Linked DNA regions of Rattus norvegicus. The protein of the gene in region 4 interacts with the protein of the main gene of each other region in a pairwise test. Links are inferred from orthologs where the notes say so. Each region holds a gene or a part of one and is shown on either strand. Other genes may lie near its edges. The genes, in order: Rad51ap1, Upp2, Atn1, Siah1 and Tmem43.

Region 1 (4,367 bases), on a different chromosome or scaffold from region 4:
AATGTAAATACTGTTGTTCAGTTAAATGAACAAGGTCAAACCACCTAAATATTTATGTTTACCCACAGACAAGCACTATTCTCAGCCTTAATCAGAGAACTGTTTCTTTCCAGGGAACAGTAGTGAGTGGAGAGTCTCCAGGTGACACAAGGTGCTGAGAACAAGTGGTAGATAGGGACTCGGCCCTAAATGAGACATTTATACCACCCCTTTGAAGGCTCAAGGAACACAGCAGAAAAGGAAGTGGAAAAATATAGGAACCAGAACATAGAGAAGAAAACAATGCCATCTTCTGACAAGATACTGCCATTACAATCATAAACTCACTGCAGTGTCAGATGTCTGCATAAGATTGGGCCCATCAACAGCAAAGGGAGGCGAGAGAAAGACTCAGAAGGACCCATGTGCCAATAAGGAACTGTTTTCTATGGGCAGATTCAGGAAAGATAAGTTTTTTCAGATGTGTGTTCACGGGTGCCCCCACCAGGCTCCAACGAGTAGTTGCAATGCTCACACATCTGCTCTGGATAAGATATTGGGTCACAAAAACAAACAAAAACAACGCCATGAATCTGGAAAGGATACTGGTGGAGATGCGGAGACTAGTAGGGATGGGGAAGTTAGTAGGGACGGGTGCGATATGAGGTGAACGAGACAGTAATCGGAATACACTGTGTACATGTAACAGAACAAAATCACGTTTTCATGTTACTCTTTGCTTGTGCAGTCTGCTGATTTCAGGATAAAATTCATCTTAACCCAGTTTACATCTCCAGATTCTCTGGGTGTGCCTATCTACACCCTGCCAGAGCAGCATGCAAAACTCCAAGTCTAGTTCTCCACAAATACTGAACTGTCAATGGCAAACTGCACTCCAGCACTTTAGATAGCCCCCATAAAGCTTGCTTCTGTTCTTTAAGCCTGTAGCAGGTACCGTCATTAGGTCCTCCATACTGAAGGGGTTTCTTCGCTATGGGATCGAACTCACCTCTTCACTCAAACACCAAGGCACACTTAGAGCTGTCAACGCAGAACTGCCCAATAAGTCAGCTGACTTCTAGCTTGTTTTGTACAGTTAGCAGATTCGCTTCGGCAGATTCGGTACCCGTCTGTTTCTTTTTTTCTCAAGCGCCAAGAAAACTCTATCCAAGAGCTCCTTTATTCCAGTCATCTTTAAGTTGATCATTCTAAATATTGGAGGCGTGTTCCTACTTTTATATTGCATTTTAGAGTTGGTACCACATCGCTGTTGTGACGAAAGTGCAGTAGCAAAACAAACTCTGGGTCTGGGCGGCAGGATCCAGAATGCCGTGCCCTGGCAAAGGTGTGTGCGCGCAGGCGCTCTTTCCTCAGTACGCAGGCGCCGCCTTAGGCAGGAGAGCGATGATTGGTGGGCTGGCGTACCGGGGCGTGGAGCCCGACGTCTGGTTTTGGGCGGGAATTGAAACCGCCACAGCTGCTCTCCAGCTCCAGGTCGCTGCTGTCCTAGGAAGGGCACCATGGTGCGCCCTACCAGGTGAGTAGTCGATGACGTCCCGCGGGGCAGGGAGGAAGAACGGGGGACGCTGGGGGCCACTGTCATACATGGCTTAGGGAGAGGACAGGGTCGGACAGAGGACAGCGGGGTTGTGTGCTTGTCGCCAGTCTCTGGTGAGAGCCACCCGCTGCTCAGAGTGGCCCGCCTAGCATCCTGCTTTCCGCCTCTCGGCTTCCTTTTGCAGCTGTTGCCCGCTGACTCTCCCGACCCCAGAGAGACACGGCAGGTTGGCATTTGAACCGCGCTTTACGTGGCCGCTAGTGACCATGTATGTGGCCTTCATATGTTGAACACTACAACAGCCCAGCGATACAGAAAAGGCAGTCGTGCCTATATTGAGCCCCTCAAATCCCTAAGAAGAGCGACCCATTTAACTGAACATCCAGCTCAAGCCGTGGTGCCTTGTCACATGACTCCAGTCCTTTTCTGCTTTCCCTTAGACAGTTGGAATCCTCTCTCCGTGATCACAACTGGGATGCTATCCATTTAGTAGACTGACTGAATATTGCAGAGACTGGCCCAGTGGTGGATTGATTGCCTAGCAGATGAGAGGTCCCAGGTTCAATCCCTAGTCCTGCAAAACCAAACAAATTAACTTAGTGAATTCACCTAGGCCTGTACTGTATTAAGAGCTGGAGCTTACCCTATTGGAAGATGGGGGGCGGGGTAACAAAATAAACACCACAATGGAACATAGGAGGAAGGAGAAAAGCCTCACTTTGGGGTCCTTTCTCTCCTTGCACCTTCTCATGGATCCAGGAGTCAGAGTTGGGTTTAAGGTTGCACAGCAGTTGACTTTAGCCACTTCGGCTCACTTTGGTTGTACTTTGTTTACAAACCACCTGTCTTCACTCTTCTATCATTTACACTACAATGATGATAGGACTATTGGAACCTTAACAAAAATTGAGGCAGTGACGTCGAACTGTGCTGGTTAGTCCTTGCAGTTTCTACTGCCACCTACTCAGATGTTTTGTTTTGTTTTAAAAACAGAAGCATTCATGGGCTGGCTCGATAGTTAAAAGAGTGGTTGGTGCTCTTCCAGAGGTCCCAAGTCCCGTTCCTAACCACTTCAGACACTTTACAACTCTTCCAGCTCAGGGGGACCCAGTACTCATGTGCATATACCCACACGCAGACACCTTCATATCCACATATTTTAAAAGAGCTTTTAAAAAGTAATGGTTTCCTGCATATCTCACTCCAGTGAGTCTCTAAAATACATACAGTAGGTAATTTGTGTTTAATGAATCAATAAGAATCCATGTCTGTTACAACTCAACCCAAGTATATTATTTTTTTAGTAGGCTTTTGGTTCTATTTACTATTTTTCAATCCCACAATTCCTAAAGATGCTTTCATAGTTTATGTAGCTGTCAAATTCTTACACTCTGACGTGTGGGAGAGAACATGAACACCTTTCCTTTTGATGTGCGTTCTCTCAAGGAAACACAAGTCTGGATCATGAGCTGAATGGTGGACAAGCCACTTTTTCACAGAACTCCTATTTTTGCCTGAAAGAACGGCAACTGATGAACGAACTTGTACACATGGGGAAGACAGGGCAGCCTTACATTGCTTTCCCAGAGGAAGGAGATGAACCTTTCTACATTGAGCATCCTTTTCCTCTGCCCTCTTAGTTCCCACAAAGATGCTGGGAACAGACTACTGTAAAGTGTGCATTCCATTAAGAAAGCATTATTTGGTATTGTAGGGGGATTTATTTTAAAGTTTTTTTGTTTGGCTTTGGTTTGAGTTTTTAGGTGTCTGTGTGGGTGTTTCATGTGCGTGCAATGTCTGAGGAAGTCAGAGGGTTCTTAGTCCTCCTGGAGCTGGAGTTACAGGAGTTGTGGGCTGCCTGGCATGGGTGTTGAGAACCAGATTCATGTCCTCTGAAAGAACAGTGCATGCTCTTAATCATGGAGTCTCAGCTCTGCTCTAACTGAATTTTTAAAATGTGGTTAAAACTGAACAGGTACTTTATAGTGTAAGCAAAGAAGGGCACACAGTTTATAAATACCCAGTTGCCACTAAACAATACAAAGCTTAATTGATAATAGTTGTTTTCTCTTTACTTTGGGAGTTTCCTGAATTAATTTCTCTTCTCATTATGTGTATTAGGTATGGGTTTGGTGTTTCCGTTAATGCCAAGTACTTGGCTTTGGATTGAAGTACTTTTGAGAGACTCCAAACACATTTTCCTTTCTTCAAGACTATTAAAAACTTTAAGGTGAAGGTAAAATATTAATATGTACAGTAATGAAAAATTTCTGTCTTGATCATAGAAATAAAAAACCAGTCAATTATTCACAGTTTGAGGATTCTGGCAATGACTCTGATGGTAAGTAGAGCCTTTTACTTTTCTTTAATACATTGAGAAATGTATTTCTTTGGAGTCAGATATGGAAAAATTTACCCTGAAAGCTTAGGTTTAAGCTTTGTCATTGTATTGATCATATATTTGTCTTTGTTGTCAGAACTTTGATCAAAGTTAGAGAAACATTTCATTAGATTACAGTGCACTTGTAGTAAGATAATTTTCTTCTGCATGTGTGTGTGTGTTGCTATGTATTTTGGGGTTGTGCGTTGGGGAGGAGAGTGTTTACTGGGGATCAGACCCAGGGCCTCACACATGCTCTTCCCAGACCACCAAATTCTCCTTTAAGTCAAATACTTTAGCAGTTCTCAGTTCAGAGAAGTCTGTTTTGCACTGTGTCCACAGCTTGAGGAAAAAGTGGTTTGGCAGATAAGTCGTCGTTTTCCATTGCTGTCACGGGGATGTAACAGGTACTGACAGATTACCAGTTGTGTTCATGACCCTGGGTAGGGT
Region 2 (3,708 bases), on a different chromosome or scaffold from region 4:
TGCCATATGGCAAAACCTTTTAAGCTACTGGGGATGTTTGAAGGTGAGTTTGTTCTGGAAGTCGTTAGGCAAAAGCCTGAAAATATTTTTATAATGCTTTATTCCTGCCCAATGCATTTCTACCTTTTTTGATAAATCCTGGACAAAGATCATTTTGTTTGGAACATAAATCACAGTCAGTGCCACTGGTGACCAATGTTGGCCGGTGGTCTTCAGCTGTGTGTTATTTCTTATTAAAGCAGCCAGGCTGGTCATGGTGTCTACAGGCGATGCTTAGTGAATCTGGGAGTAGGTGTCAGGAGCTAAGCTTGCTTCTGTCTATGCATGTCTCCAGAAATCTGCAGACATTCTGCCTGATTACTGTAATATCTACAGTTCAAAGCAGAACACAAACTGCAAACTATTCTAACATCTGTTTTGGTTTTATGGTCAATGCAAATGATTATAATTTAGATGTACTGGCACCACACTGTGAGGTTATTTTCAATCTCCTGTATTTTGTATATTAAAAGGGGCCTTCTTGTACTTAGACCTTGACCTACGCACAGCAAGAAAGTGCTTAACTACTCATAACAAGAAAGGAGCAAAGTCCATGAATAATCAATAGTATTCGAGGCTTACCTTAAACATGGCCTGCCTTGCTGTCTTGTCTCTAGCCTTTAAGGCTGGCTTCATTACTACCTTAAGGCCCCATCGAAAAACCTCCTAGAGAATTCCAGAGAAGGCAGCAGAGAGGGCAGATGAGAAGCAATGCCCAGACAAAAAAGAGTAATTACGTCCTGTGATTGAAAGTTACTGTACGCTGCCCAGAAATTACTGTTAAGTGGAAACAGGATGCATCATGAGATCAGACCACCCAATACTTCTGTTGATCTCTTACATGAAGGACACCCACTCAACAACCTCAGGAATTTCTTCAGACAGCCCCTGCGAAGGCCCTTGCTAGCCTTCCTTGGCTCTTCTGCCCAAAACTGCCCACATCAGCCAGGCACCACTAAGTGTCTTTTTCCCCCCAAGAAAACTTAAGTTGGCTTCATTTTTAACTGAATTCTGCACCAGAGATGTGGGCTCAAAATGCAGGCCAGAGCAGTGTTATCTGATATGAAAGGTAGAAGTCCACAGATGTGGACACTGAGAAGGTTCCAGGATCCATGCCTGGTCCTTTGTTAAATTCAGTCCTACTTCATCCTGATTAAACTTGAGAGTGCCAGAGATGATGATCTGAGGAATATAAAGGTTTCGTGTGTTGCTGAGCAAGTGACTTAATCAGTGGTGAGCTAGTGCTCAAAGCCAAGTGTGCCTACACTCAAATGGCAGCTGTCCAGCATTCCTTGGCTTTTGCTTTCTGTACTTCACTCTATACGCCACGCCATATATACCACACCACATATACCACATTACATATACCACATCACATATACCACATTAAAATGCTGTATCACATATAGAATACCACTTATACTACACCATATATACCACATCACATATACCACATTACATATACCATACCACATATAGCACATCAAAATACTGTATCGCATATAGCATACCATATATACTACACCATATATACCATATCACATATACCACATTACATATACCATACCACATATGGCAAATCAACATACTGTATCACATATAGCATACCACATATACTACACCATGTATACGACATCATATATACCGCGTTACATATACCATACCACATATACCACATCAACATACTGTATCACATATAGCATGCCACATATACTACACCATATATACCATATCACATATACCACATTATATATACCATACCACATATAGCACATCAAAATACTGTATCACATATAGCATACCATAATACTGCACCATATATACCACACCACATATACCACATCAACATACTGTATCACATATACCATGCCATAATACTGCACCGTATATAGCATATCACATATACTATACCACATATACCACATCTCTTACATCATACCATATAGACCATATCACATACACCATACTGTATATATCACACCACACATGCTCCCTCTCTTATGACACACCACACCACATTTGCACCATACCACACGGCTTTTGTTTCAGAGTAGATTTCTGCCTGACAACCTTCTGTGTGCTCTGCTTCCTCTTGGCCTTCAGACCCCTCTCTCTGTTGCTAATCCTGCTTGGTACCCACCTGGATGCCTACTCATGGAGGCCACCAACAGGACACTCCTTTCCTTTCTCTCTGGCATATTCTTCCATCCTTGGGGTTGACGTATCACTAACAGATTGTGACACAACTAATTATAATTTTCTTCTTGAGATAGGGTCTCACTATATAGTCTGGTCTGGCATCAAAAGCACTATGCAGTCCAGGCTGCTGTCAAACTCATAATCCTCCTGTCTTAGAACTCTGGCTGTAGGTATGCGTTACCATGCCTAACTGCTGATTATCAACACATTTTATTAGGCATGACAACCTTTGACTGCAACATCTACCCTAAAGTCAGAGAACAAGATAAATACAAAAGCAAATTAGTGGGATGGATGACCAACTGCAGTCAAGTTCTGAGCTTACAGTAACAAGCCGTGTTCCATTATGATTTTTTTCTCAGTGAAGGAAAGTCTTGAGATGCTTCCTATAAAGGTTGAGGGTATCATAGTAAATTTTAAAATAAAGGATCCCGATTAGGGTGGATACACAGAAAACAGTAAAACTGGCAAGTGCTTACAATCTACATCCTTAGCACTTGACACTAAACGTGTCACGTGAGTGCTCCCCACTAGGATGATTATAGCCATGAAGATGCCGGCTGATGCTACCACACCACCAGGAAACACCTCCTTGAACAATGTGAACATTTACATGATTTTCTTCACTAATTTAGTACATAATGCATTTCAACTAGTTGCCTCTTTTCAGGTTAATGACGTAAATGAGCCAAATTTTGAACACAATCAAAGATATCTACGCACACTCAGAAGTAAATTAAATGCGCTGCAAAAACAAAAACGTTAGAACCGGATGTTGCCCCTTGCTCTTATCCTAGTGATGACGGTAGGCACCCGTTCATTTTTGTTGACAGTTTGTCTGCGTTGGTGGGAGCTCGAACAGAATGAAAGCGTTTGCACTGTTTATGCACAAGGAACTCGGGTTGGAGGGAGATGGAGACGACATCGAGGACATCTGTGCGGGGACAGACAGATACTGCATGTTCAAAACAGGCCCTGTGCTCTCCCTCAGTGTAAGTAGGGGACGGCTGCAGGCCAGCTAGACTTTGTGGGATGCACACCAAACTGGGACCATCTGAACACAGTTCTCTCTCCATGCTGCTGTGTCCTCTTACACAAGGAACGCAAGTGAAGAAGTTAATACAACTGGGAAAAGGTTTTTGGGACAGGGCAGAGCATGCAGGGTCACTACCTGCCTTTATACTCACTACTTAACTATTAGGAAAGGGCAAAAGTCTTCAAAGCTCATCTCTCTTTCTATTCCTAACTGATCAACATGGTCCCCTTCCTAGCCATTTCCTTTCCTCTTTTATCAAGGCTTTAGGAGCCTTGAGCTACTCATAGAGGCCAATTCTCAGGATTGTTAAAATTTAACACAAATAAACTTGCCGAAAAGCAGCAAGCGCATTTGCACTGAGGTCTTGTGATGCGTTCTGCTCTCTGTCAGAACCTGATAGCTCTTCTGGACACTGTCTAAGATGCAATGAAAGG
Region 3 (4,136 bases), on a different chromosome or scaffold from region 4:
TTCCAAACTAGGGCCCGGACCCTCCTGGACTCCTCTAGTGTTCCCTGTCTCTAGCTCTTCTCTTTTCCTATCACTGACTGTCCCACCACGATACCACGCAGACCCTATTTATCTTGTGTTTCCTTCCAGGCCTAATTAATTCTCCTCCACTGTATTTGCCAAAGGAAATAGTTCTTAGTTGGATTGGAAGTCCCCACCTTCAGGTTTTATCAACCCATCCCAAACCCTAGAACGGGCATATGTCCCACCCACCCCCCACCGACCCCGCGGCCGCTCTCCCCCACCCCCACTTCTGAGACCTCTCATGCCTTCCTTCTCTCCCACAGAAGTATCTCTGGACTTTCCTCCAGCCTCCCTTCATCATTCCCAAATTCTTGTGGTTTGCATTCTTTTTAACACCAATCGCCGTCTTAAACTCTTATCTCTTCCAGAAACGCCATTCTCTTAGGGTGTCTTCTTCATCCTTTCCCGCCCAGGTCCACAAACTTCCATCGTAGTCTCTCGGAAATAGCTCTTAAACCCCTCCAGCCTCAGCTTCCTGCCCTTCCTCTCCATCTGTCCAATACAGCCCCATTATCCAAATCTCTACTTCAGTATTCCCCCAAACTCCACCTACTTCACCCCTGCCACCGCTCCTCTTGTCCCCAAACTTCTCCAGCCTCCCCAGGTCTGCCTTCGGAGTCCACAGCCCCTCCCACCCAGCCCTCTCCCGCGCGGGGCCCGCGAGCTCCCCACGCTCTGCGCCGCGAGGCCCTCTCTCTCCGCGCCCCGGCCGGCTTCGGCCAACTCGCCCGGCGCCTCCCCTTCCCCGATCCTCCGCCCCCCGACTGCCGCGCGCTCCCTCCCTCGCGTCTCCTCCGGGCCCCTCTCTCTCCTCCGTTCCTCCGCGCTCCCTCCTTCTCCCTCTTCCTCCCTGCTCCCATCCCCCTCTCCCGAGCGCCCTCCCTCCGCCGTCCGCTTTCCTGTGCGAGTCGCCGGACGCGCGGCCCAGCCCGTCCGTCCGCCCGCAGCCCCGCGCCGGCCGGGGCCTCGGGCCAGGACGTGTTTTGGGGTGGCAGGACTCGGGGCGGGCTAGGGGCGCGCAGCACGAGCGGCGGGAGGGTCGGGGGTCGCGGACCTCGCCGGGGCCGCGAGTGCGGGCGGAGGCGGGCGGCGCGGCGGGGGCGGGCGGCGCGTTCCGGGCGGGAGGGCGGGCGAGGAGCACGAGAAGCCGATCGGGGCTGCGCGGGGAGCCGGGCATGGGGGCCGCCCTCCGGGGGGGCCGGGGCCGCCGCCGCCGCCGCCGCGGCAGCGACTGAAGCCGCGCAACAAGGAGGGGCGGGGAGTGGTCGCCGCCGTCCCCGGGAGGCGCCGGAGCTCGACTGCACTCGCTGCCAGCCAGCCGTCCCGAGCCGCTCGCAGGTAAGGTCCGCCGCCGCCGGCCCGGGCCGCCCCGTTCCGGCTCGCGGCTCCCCGCCCCCACCCTCCCGGTCCCCCCTCCCGCCGCCGCCTCCATTTGTTATTTTCCCGGTCGCGTTCCCTTATTGCGGGCACGACCGGGCCCGAGGCTGGGGACTCAGGGGGTGGGGCCGCCCGGAGGAGGGACGCGGGCCCGGGAGTCGCGAGCTCGGGAGGTGGGGGGGAGGAGGGTCTTGGTAGGAGGGCTGACGGGGCAGAGCGTCGCCAGGACCAGAGCCTAAAGGGGAGGAACGCCGAGGTGGAGACTTGGCGGAGGTAAACCGGGGGATGCTGTGCGGGTGGTTCGCGGAGAAGGCAGGACGGATCGGAGAGATGGCAGCGAGGTGGGGCGTGCAGGCTCCAGTAGCCCCACAGGCCCAGAATCCGTGTTCCAGAACCCAGGGTTGCGGGTTTTAGGAACAGGGAAGTGGGAACAGGGAAAGGGGTGTGGTAGGTGGTAAAAGGAGAATTGTGGTAGCCGAGAGGGGGGAATTGAACCTGGGGGGGAATGGAGATGAACCAGGAGAGGCCCATCTTTTTGAAGACGGACGTTTTCTGGGGGTGGAAATGGGAAGGCCGTATCTTTTGTGACTCAGTTTTCTTTTACCCCACTCCCGGTCACCTCTGACCCTGTTTTGCTAATCCCAGACCTAGTTACTTCGTGAAGGGGGCCACTGAGGCTTAGTAGTGTGAGTCCTCCTAACACTAATAAGAAAGGCAGCAATTCTGAAGGAGGAATTAGAAAGGTTGGGAGGATGGGAAAGAAGAGAGGATTGGGCAATCATATAGGCATTCCAAGGAATTGTGACCTCCGCCCTCACCCCCAAGCGTTGGATGCCCCGTAGCTGGGCTCTATCTAGGAGGTCTTCCTTACTGCTTTGATCTCAAAGATCTCCCTTTGTGCCTGGGGCGGGTTACTCTAAAGCTCCCTTCCCTGAGGGTACCGTGAGAAGGTCGGAGTTGCTTTGGCAACTAAGGTGGTAATAGTGGCAGCCAGATGGACCCCTGGGATGGTCTCTTGGGGGGCCCTTTTTTTTATCCATTTAGTTGTCATGGCAGTGAGCCAGTGGGGAGTCCAATAGGTGGGGATTCAGTATGTAGATTGGGCCTCAGTCAGCCTATAGCTTTGTCCTTGGTGGGCGGTAGATCTCTGGTAGGTATTTCTGGTGTTGCCCCAAGTAGGGGTCTCCTGAGGAGGTGCACCCCTTCTCCTCCAGAAGTCTTTTGGAACAAGTAACCCTGTTGCTTGCAGGTCATTCTTGCCAGTCTCTACCTGGGTATGGTGGAAAGATGAAAATATTGTTGTTCAGACTATGTGGTCTTGGGCTGGGGGGTGTAGCTCAGTAGTGTTATTTCTTAGCATGCATACATAGGCCCCGGATTTGAGCTCCAGAACCAAAAACAAAATAAAAAAACCAAGTTATACCCCCGTGGGCAATTTCTGTCGGTCTCTACCACTCTTACTGTCTTATAAACAGTTGATTCTTTGAACTGTTTTATTTTCTTGAATTCCTCTTTGGATCTCTCTTCTCCTGTCATTTCTCAGGGTGACCCTTTCATTCAAATGCCCTTTGGCCTTTATTCTGGACTTACAGAAATGGCATGGTTCTTCATGCCTGTCTGGGTGAGGGTGGCCCAGGGGAGGGCTGTGAAACAGCCTAGAGCAGAGCCGGATGCTCTGGAGACCCAGGTGTACTTCTCCATGTTCCTCTATGACCTTGGGCAAGTCACTTCTCTCATCTTTGAGCTTCACCTTCATTGTATGATGAAATGACCCCTGGCTCCTTCAACAGACCTGGGTTCTAACAGGACTTAGGGAGCTACGTTGTTATCTGCTGGTCTGTGCCTCGTGGATGTCTTGGTCACTTTCCTCTGACTGTTAATCTGGCAAATCTAGAATTATGAGGGGTGGTCGGTGACCCTGAAACACACCCTTTATGCTCTTCCCAGGGAATCTGTGACGTGGTCACTTTCTGACATTCCTGTCATATTTGCAGACTTGTTCCTTACTTTCTTTTTTTTTTTTTTAATTTAATTATATTTATTTGTGTGTGTGCTGTGGTGCACATTCGGAGGTCAGAGGGTAACTTGAGTTCGTTTTCTTCTTCCGCCATGTGGGCCCCATGGTCCAACTCAGGTCATTCATTTCAGTAGCGATCTCTGGTTTTTGTTTGGTTTTGAGATGGACTTATATCCAGAACGGGCCTTGAACTCACTGCCTAAGGAAATGACCTTGAAATTGCCCCTACCTCTGCAGTCCTGAGATTGCAGGCAAGAACCACACCCTGTTTTATAAGGTGCTGGGGATGTAACCCAGGGCTTCTGGAACTCTCGTCCCGGGTCTCTGTTCCACACCCGTTTTCTCTGCCTACTCATGAACTCTTTTCTGATTTCTCATTTCCCTGCCTTCCTGGTTTTGGCCTTCCTTGTTTTCCTTTTGTGAGGAGGGAATGAGGAAAATGTGTGTGGCTGTCCTCGGTAGATGCTTCTAAATGTTAAAGGCAGCCTTTAGGTAAGATGGAGCGCCATTTGGCCAGTTAGTTTTACAGCCCCACGGTACCTGTGTTCAGACTTAACCTATGCTCTGGCCCCAGCCTCAGTCCCATCCCTTCCTCTGCCCATCTTTATCCCAGGAACTTCCGCCCCACTGAACACTGTTTTTCTATCAGATTTCAGCTGATTAAAAAAGGTAAGAAAGG
Region 4 (3,708 bases):
TAGGAGACTGGGCCCAAGGTCAGACAGATGGTTAAGTTGGGTGGAGGTAAACTGGTGCCTAGAAACTTGAAAATCAGACTGCAGAGTCAGTACCACACCACTGGAGCTAGGAAAGGATAAAATAACTCACCTTTTTTCACAAAGGAAAAGAATAATCAGCATTAATTAGTCATATTCCCAATGTCCTAATGGAATGAAAGTGGGAGGGAGAGCTGTCCAGTCTTTTCTGTGATTTAAAATAAAACATACTTCAAACAGTGGCATACAATCCTCTGCTCTAAAATACAGACCGGAACAGGAAACTACCTTTGGAGTTTATCCATCTTAGGGCCACAGGGTGAGGGTGTAGCTCAGGGTAGAGCATCTGCCAAGTGCTAGGCCCTACATTCAGTCCTCAGCTCCAGGGAAACAAAAAACAAAAACAAAAACCTAGAGCTAAAGTAAACACATTAAAATGTTTTTTAATTTGCCAGATAATCTTTTAATGAGAATTATAAAAGACCAAAAACATTTTTTTGCAAACTGCCTTTTTTTAAAAACAAATGATTTACTTTAATTACAAATACTGTGTATGATGATGCACTCTTTTGCAAAACCAATAAATACAAGAACCAATTTAAACATGTGATTTGCCCAAGACATTTGAAGAGAGGAAAAGCCTGATTATTTTATAATTTATAGTGATCAGAGTTTACTCCCTAAGCTAACCTTTCAGAGAGTAAGCCTGACCTGACGGCGTAGGACAGCAGTCGGGAGGCGAGACCATCCTGTACTTGCTTCAGCCTCGACGAGCTGCTCTGCTCCCTTTCCTTTCTGGAATTCCTATTTCCACAGAAGGGCTGAATTAAAAATGTCTAATAAATTGATTGAAGGAAAAGAAAGTATGTACTGAACACAAACTTCTGACATTAAGCAATTATGGATATCAAAAAGACGCTAACTTAAAAGGTACAAAAGTGAGAAAAACCTGAATTACAGAAAAGAAAGTCAAATTTATTTAATGAAAAACTAGAATAAAAATTAGCAAATACACACACACCAAAAAACAAAACAAAAAACAAAACAAAAAACAACCCCACAGCAGCACTGTGTGTTGACTCACAAGGGGAAAGCGGTGGCCCATGACCACGCAGATGGCTTGTCAGTTAAAGGAAAACCAACCACACACGTGCACGCATGCGTGCACAGACACACACCCCCAAAAAATTGTCAACAATACAATCAATCTACAACAAACACAAAGTTCAGAAATATTTTACAATGTTTCCTTTCTTAATACAAAAGATGCCCATCTTGGGTATATATATTTTTCAGTGGTTTACTGTTGAATTATTTTTAAATATATTAGTGTTACTACATGCAACTGTTTCCTGTATTAACAGCTTTTCTTTTTATTTACCTTCATGTCTAGCTTCTACCTACCAGGAGAGGTTTAGGTTGGCAAGCAGATGGGTGCCTTATTCTCTGTGAAGTCAAATGCAAATTTTAAACACTGGCCAGAAATATTTGATTGCCGTTTCAACACATGGAAATAGTTACATTGATGCCTAAATTGCCATTTTCTGCAAAGAGCTGTGCAATGCTGGTGTCAAACACTAGGCAGTCACTATTCATGATGGCTGTTGCAATTCCCTCATGAATAGACCGAGGGGTGGCTTCCCAAGTCAATCGCCGCCTATGACCATTCAGCTCAAGTCGATATGCAAAATTTTCAGCTTGCTTGCGTGTTCCTATCAGCTGTACAATCGCAAAGAACTGCTGATGGCCATCGTATTTTTCTTGTTTCTCCAAGACTAACATGAAATGAAAGCCAAAACAAGACTGCATCATCACCCAGTCAACAGCACCAGGAAGGTTAATGTCTGTAGCAAGGAAAACTATATCTTCTCCTTGCAGGGTGGTAATGGACTTGTGCTGATGCATCAGGTGGGGCATGACAGCATCCAAGGAGCCTTGCCACTTACAGGAAGCACCAGGGCAGGGGCAGGAGTAAGGCCTGAACTCACAGAGCTCCTCGTGCTCTGCCTTTTCGGTGTGCGGCAGAGTTATCTCACATCCAGAAGAGGCATATTTACAAGGGAAGAGTACGGAGTTGGCCACTTTCTCCATAGCCAAGTTGCGAATGGATCCCAACGGGCCCCGGCAGGTGGGACAACATGTAAGTTTGGGGCGACAGTTGCTACAAACAAGATGGCCACTCTGACACTGAAGAATAGGTGGCAATACATAGTCAAAGCAGACAGGACACTCGAAAAGACTCGCCAAGTCATTGTTGGATGCAGTTGTGCCAGTCAAGGCAGGTACCCTCTGGGATGGTGGACACTTTGAGGTGCCGGTGGGTAATGCTGTAGCAGTCTGACGGCTCATCTCTGTAAAGGAAAACAAGAAAATAAAAGGAAGCAGGGGGAAAGTTACAAATATAACACATTAGTAGATATGTATGTATACATGTCATAAATACTTGTAAAGCATACCACAAAATTTATCGTGAATAAAAGAATAAAATTAAGTAAATATAGTTTTAAATCCATATACAAATAAAATAAAAATTGAACGCTAAAGGTTAATTTTCTGGAGTTATATAATGAGTAAACTGTATTTCCAAAATGTTCTCCAGCATGTTTAAAATACTTTTTTGTTCTTAAAGCAGTGGAAATCTCTGGGTGGACTACACAGAATAAGAATCGCACCAGGCATTGTGGCCACACCTTTAACCCTTGCACTGCAGACACACATACAGGTGGGGATCAGGGAGTTCGAGGTCAGCCTGGTCTGCATACATAGTTTCAGGCCAAGCAGGACTACATATGAAGACCTAATTTCAAAAAAGTTCCTAAACAATAAAGAACTACAAAACTGTCTTTGTCTTAAGAACTTAAATACAGCTGGGCAAGATGGCACAAGCCTTTAACTCCCAACATTTAGGAGGCAGAAGAAAAGGAAAGAAGGAAGAAGAAAAAAAAGGAAGGAGGAAGGAGGAGGAGGAAAGGATGAGGAAGAGGAGGAAGAGGAGGAAGAGGAGGGGAAGAGGAGGAATATAAATTAAATACAGGGCTGGAGACTGGAGAGATGGCCTAGCAGTTAAAAACACTGGTTGGTCTTCCGGAGGACCAGTGTTCAAATCCCACCACCCAAATGGCTGCTCATTAGAGGCAGCCAGGGCACTCAAACATATTATGAGCAGATAGACATGCAGGCAAAGCACCCATTCACATAAAATAAAAACAAATCTTTTTTAAAAGAAGAAAACCTTAAATTACAATATAAACTTTATTTGGGCTGGACTTTTTTCCCGAGTCTCCACCTCCATCTATTTTTTCTCAAGTCTGAGTTTGCTCATAGCTTCAGGACCTACTGCTTTAGTCCTATGAAGTTCATATGCCAAAGACCATTAGAGCCGGGTCAACTCTTCCCAGCATGAACAGCATCATCACTAGAACTGTGCTCTGGGAATGGGCTCAGAGGTCACAGGGGAAGGAAACCCTGCCATCCTGTTATCTGCCTGCAGACGTCTACTCAGTCTTTTATTAAGGCAGCCAGGTATCACTTCTGTCTCCCATCAGTCAGTGCGTTCATCTGAAGACTGAAGGAATATAAGAAGTGGAGAAAACCACAGAAGATCAAACGCTGGGTGGGGCTGAACAAAGAGCTCCCTGAACCTGTGGGTTCCCTCTTGTGGCTACAGCTTTCACTGTAACTAACCACAAG
Region 5 (4,184 bases), on a different chromosome or scaffold from region 4:
CTTCCTCCTTTATACTTCAGGTTCCCTAGACTTAAGAGTAAAGGAGCTTAGAATTCTGGGTGAACTACGTCTTTCTGTAGCTTTGTATTCTCAAGAGTCCTCCCAACTCTTTCCTGCCTTGGGCACGTGCTTCATGAATACCAGAGTAAATGATGCCTGGTCTCTCAATTTACAAGAGTGGAAACTAGGGCCTGGAGGGTTTGGCAGCTCAAATATAAGGAGCCAGTTAGTGCTGGGAGGCCTTAGAGCAGACTGGTCTGGATTCTTCTGGGCTCCTGTCTATGGGTAATAGGTAGAGGAAGTGAGTGATCCTCAACGTGGCTAGAAATGACGGAAGAAAGCAAGTCCTTTCGTATAGGGCTCCAGTTTCATGACCTGATGTGGGCTCTTGGATCGAGTAACCTGTCCTAATTTACCGTTTGATAAAAATGTGGATAGTAAAAGAACCCGATATATAAAGACCGCTACGTGAAATTTAAAAGAGTGCCTAGTAAACAGGAGGAGCTCAATAAGTGCTCCTGCTAGTGGCACTTCAGCACACCCACTCAAGCCCAAGTGGTAATTTTCCGGGATATTTAAAAAGCCTAAGCGGGAGAGAAACATGTGGTGAGTGCGAGGAGCGACGGGGGCTGATTCCTAACAGTCCCCGATTTCCAGCCAGATACAACATACTCCACACTAGCAGGGCCCACGTGAGGGCCTCCGAGGCCCGAGTTCGGGCTTCACCTTGACCTTGGACCAGCCTCGTTCCTCACTGAGCCTCTGCCTTTCTCATTTGGAAACCGCCGCGTGAGGCCCACTAAAGGGCCCGCAGCCGCTCGATGGAAACCACTAGACCGCGTGTCTCTCGCAGGCCCGCGCCGGCCGGTCTCCATGGCAGCGCCCGACTCACCTTCCTGCCGGCAGTAGGACATGGTTGTTCTCAACGTTCCCAGCTCGCAGAGGGAGCAGGCGCGGCTACAGCGGCTACACCTTCTCGTTGTGACCTCCCTCGCCTCTTCTCAGGCCTGGCGGGTGGCACTGAGGCCCACACGGACCCGCCCCCTCCAGGCCTGCCCGCCGCGCGCCTGCCTCCGCTCGTCCTAAGCGCCAGCACCGCTTCTCAGTCGAAAATACATTGACCAGCAGCCTTTGCGCCCGCCAACTAAAGCTATACTACATTTCCCAGAAATCTTGCAGCGCGCACGCGCACCAGTGAAATATTGTGTTTTGTAATTTTGTGGTGAAAGCGTCCGACGTCCGACTACATTTCCCAGCAATCCTTGAGACGCGCATGCGCAGACAACTTGAGACGTAGGCGGGGCCGTAACTCTTATCCCGAGTCCCGCCAGGTCCTGGATTCCTCGAGGAGTCTTGCAGCTCTGTGGCAGACAGGACACCGTATTCTGCGTTCCGGTCGTCATCCCAATTCCTAGAGGAACAAAGCAAGACGGCGGCAGCGAACCAGGCCCACCATGGCAGCGAACGTGAGTGCTTCCTGATCCCCGGGTTACACCATTATCTGGGTCGTTTTTCCCCTAGGTTTGCGCTGGGTCCTTCGGCCTTGCGACCCCAGTGGGTGCGGCTGCCCTCAGCTCCCTGAACTCGTCTATCTCGGGCTGCACGTTTGTGGGACTCAGCTCTTAGTCGAATCCGCTCGTGCACGGCTGCTTCTTCCACTCCTAGTTTCTTTCTGGGCCCCTGGGGATATAAAACTTGTGGAACTGAAGGACCACGAGAAAAGTGTCTGTCGGTGAGCAGATTAAGGTGCTCCTGCCCAGGTGGAGCTGTCCAACAAAGGCTGCTTTGGTCTCCGCTCCCTAGGGGGTGTGTGCTCCTAGGCTGTGATGTAGCAGGACAAGCCTGGCTGGATGACCTAGAAAGGGAGGCTTTTCTCTACTGCTCGGTTCCTGGTGCACTGATTTGGGTAGAGACCCTGACTGAAGATAGTTGCCCCAGACCTCTGGCCATTTCCTACTGCAACTAGTCCTTAACTTTCCTAGTGAATCCTAACATTCATTCAACAAACGGAGCAACACCACCTACTAGGGGACTGGGTGTGGAAGAAGCTGGTGACTCATAAATGCCTCTGGTGAAAGCGCCTCTGGAACCAGCTCAGGAGCACTGCCAGCCCCAGTCACACCCTCTCTCCCTCCTTGGTAGAGTGTCATTGCAGCCATCCTTGGGCCTGTTACACCCTCTTCCCAGGCCCCTCCTCTGTCCTCAAACTTCTTGGCCTCCTACACCTCCTGGGAGATCAGAGTTTGTTTCACCCACTGTCCAAGCAATATCTGCTTGGCACATTGTCCGGCCCTAGAAGGGGAGGAGAACCAAAGGTTAGGAATGCTGCACTGGAACCAGAGGAGAAGGCAACCAGCAGGCCAGCCGGGCAAGAGTGGGCGGACCCCTTCGGATCCATATGTTCAACGTCAAATTTTACAGTTCCCCAGCAGAAGACACCTGCTTGGGGGCTTTTAGACAGTTTGGCTTGCTATATCATCAGCCTGGGAAGGTGCAGATGAGGGCAGGCTTTGGAGGCAAATCCAGATTCTTCCACTCTTAACAAGCCTCTGGGTTTACCCTCATGGGATCAGTTACTGTGAAATTTGAGGGAGGTTGCTGGGCACAGAGCCTGGTACATGGGAGGTGCTTAATCCTTGAAAAAGTCACACTTAGAGGCTAGTACACACAGCCCTGGTGGGCAGAAGCCATCTTGGGTCTGACTCTCACACCAACAAACAGACACAATGGATATCTTCAGTAAGCGTGCCTTTGTCCATCCATTGTTACGTGACTTTCCCGGGAAGACATGAACATTCATCCATGTCAGTCAGGATAATCATAGACCAAAGGAGCCATTGCACCAACTCCATCTTGGTGAACCATCTTGGGCTTACTCACAGGAGCGTGGGTATTACCAGAGTCCCACGCCGGCATGGGTGACTGCCTCTGGAAGGCTGCCTAGATGGAGGTGTGTGCCCTCCCTTCCACTAGCCCTCTGCCTCCTGTATCCTCTGCACACTGCTGGGGGTGGGACACAGAGGGAAGTGAGAAGCCAGAATCCCAGGCAAGGTTATAAAGATCCTCTTCTACTCTTCCAGGGAACGTGCCGCATAATGTGAGGGCTTCATTTGGGCAATCTAAGCTATTCCGATTTCAATATGACAGTGGCTCTGCCGTGCCTAGGGACGGTACCAGAGCATCCACGCAGTAGCTGAGTCACCAGGCAGGGTAAGCAAGGGAATCTTAAGACAGTGAGTGGAACAAAAGCCCCTGAATTCAGTATAACAACTTTCCTGTCAGGTAGGTGTTGTCACCAGCAAGTGAGGAACCAGAACCAGAAAGGCGGAGCACATGTTGCCAGGCTCATATAGCAACAGCTGGGACTCCAATCCTGGTGTGCCAATTTCCAGGCCCAGTGTGTTCCCACCCATTGCTTCATTGCTTGTTGATTCTGAGCCCGGTGTGCTGGAAGTGGAACACGTTACTGTGGATACATAAGTGTGTATACATATACACACACATATACACACAGGTGCTATTTCCCACCTCACCTCTCTCCCAGCTGGAGGGACGTCTTCCTGGTTTCCCTTCCTTCCTGGCCTTAAGGGGAGCCAGCAGGGATACACGTCTCCTTTTCCGTTGTTCAGCCTGAATTGCGCTAATCGATGAAGAAGACAGTCTAGGGTAGAGGGCCCTCCCTGCATTGCACACCCACTTACTACTTACAAGGTGTTGAACCAGGCTGATAACCTAAACAGTGGGTCTCGATTTCTTCTTCTGTGAAATGGGTAGTGGTAGCCTCTTTACCCTTGAGCCAGCCCATGATTGGCCTGTAACAAATGAGTATGTCATTTTGGGCATCTGCTGGCTTATGGCTGCCTTCTTGTCTGCAGTGGTTGTCTCCACTGAGTTTTATATGGTATTGTTCTGGATACCGTGGGTGTCCTCAGCAGGCCTGAGCCAGCAGTGGACAGCCGCCAGAAGTAGCATTAGCTCTGCTCAAGGATTCTGTCTCAAATCCATCCTCTGATCCTGGGCAGGAAGGGGCCTGGCTCTCTGAGGTGCCTGCCAGGTGACCACTTTGTATCTCTGTGACTTCCATCCACACCCACAGTCTGGGTGGCAGCTCCAGTTTCAATTGTGGAGAAATCTGATAATGTTCCTATTAGCCACAACTCCCACAGGTGCCTATGAGGCCCCAG

Evidence for each region.
Region 1: the proteins of Siah1 (region 4) and Rad51ap1 interact in binary tests that used the Homo sapiens proteins (3 or more experiments, as listed by UniProt). The two-hybrid records come from large-scale screens. The link is inferred for Rattus norvegicus from reciprocal best matches to the Homo sapiens genes SIAH1 and RAD51AP1.
Region 2: the proteins of Siah1 (region 4) and Upp2 interact in binary tests that used the Homo sapiens proteins (3 or more experiments, as listed by UniProt). The two-hybrid records come from large-scale screens. The link is inferred for Rattus norvegicus from reciprocal best matches to the Homo sapiens genes SIAH1 and UPP2.
Region 3: the proteins of Siah1 (region 4) and Atn1 interact in a two-hybrid assay, tested with the Homo sapiens proteins (2 studies listed by BioGRID and IntAct). The link is inferred for Rattus norvegicus from reciprocal best matches to the Homo sapiens genes SIAH1 and ATN1.
Region 5: the proteins of Siah1 (region 4) and Tmem43 interact in binary tests that used the Homo sapiens proteins (3 or more experiments, as listed by UniProt). The two-hybrid records come from large-scale screens. The link is inferred for Rattus norvegicus from reciprocal best matches to the Homo sapiens genes SIAH1 and TMEM43.

What each region holds. Positions count from the first base shown.
Region 1 is NC_086022.1:161,455,625-161,459,991, reverse strand, and holds the start of Rad51ap1 (RAD51-associated protein 1), read left to right. Parts: upstream 1-1,432; 5' UTR 1,433-1,499; coding exon 1,500-1,516; intron 1,517-3,822; coding exon 3,823-3,878; intron 3,879-4,367. UniProt on the Homo sapiens protein: Structure-specific DNA-binding protein involved in DNA repair by promoting RAD51-mediated homologous recombination.
Region 2 is NC_086021.1:63,695,291-63,698,998, forward strand, and holds part of Upp2 (uridine phosphorylase 2), read left to right. Parts: intron 1-3,071; coding exon 3,072-3,230; intron 3,231-3,708. UniProt on the Homo sapiens protein: Catalyzes the reversible phosphorylytic cleavage of uridine to uracil and ribose-1-phosphate which can then be utilized as carbon and energy sources or in the rescue of pyrimidine bases for nucleotide synthesis.
Region 3 is NC_086022.1:159,251,509-159,255,644, reverse strand, and holds the start of Atn1 (atrophin-1), read left to right. Parts: upstream 1-1,266; 5' UTR 1,267-1,401; intron 1,402-1,564; exon of another isoform or gene 1,565-1,713; intron 1,714-4,136. UniProt on the Homo sapiens protein: Transcriptional corepressor. Recruits NR2E1 to repress transcription. Promotes vascular smooth cell (VSMC) migration and orientation. Corepressor of MTG8 transcriptional repression.
Region 4 is NC_086037.1:36,572,523-36,576,230, reverse strand, and holds the end of Siah1 (E3 ubiquitin-protein ligase SIAH1), read right to left. Parts: intron 2,370-3,708; 5' UTR 2,368-2,369; coding exon 1,519-2,367; 3' UTR 458-1,518; downstream 1-457. UniProt on the Homo sapiens protein: E3 ubiquitin-protein ligase that mediates ubiquitination and subsequent proteasomal degradation of target proteins.
Region 5 is NC_086022.1:125,533,475-125,537,658, forward strand, and holds the start of Tmem43 (transmembrane protein 43), read left to right. Parts: upstream 1-1,369; 5' UTR 1,370-1,454; coding exon 1,455-1,466; intron 1,467-4,184. Other genes in the region: Chchd4 (mitochondrial intermembrane space import and assembly protein 40), read right to left, coding at 893-914. UniProt on the Homo sapiens protein: May have an important role in maintaining nuclear envelope structure by organizing protein complexes at the inner nuclear membrane. Required for retaining emerin at the inner nuclear membrane.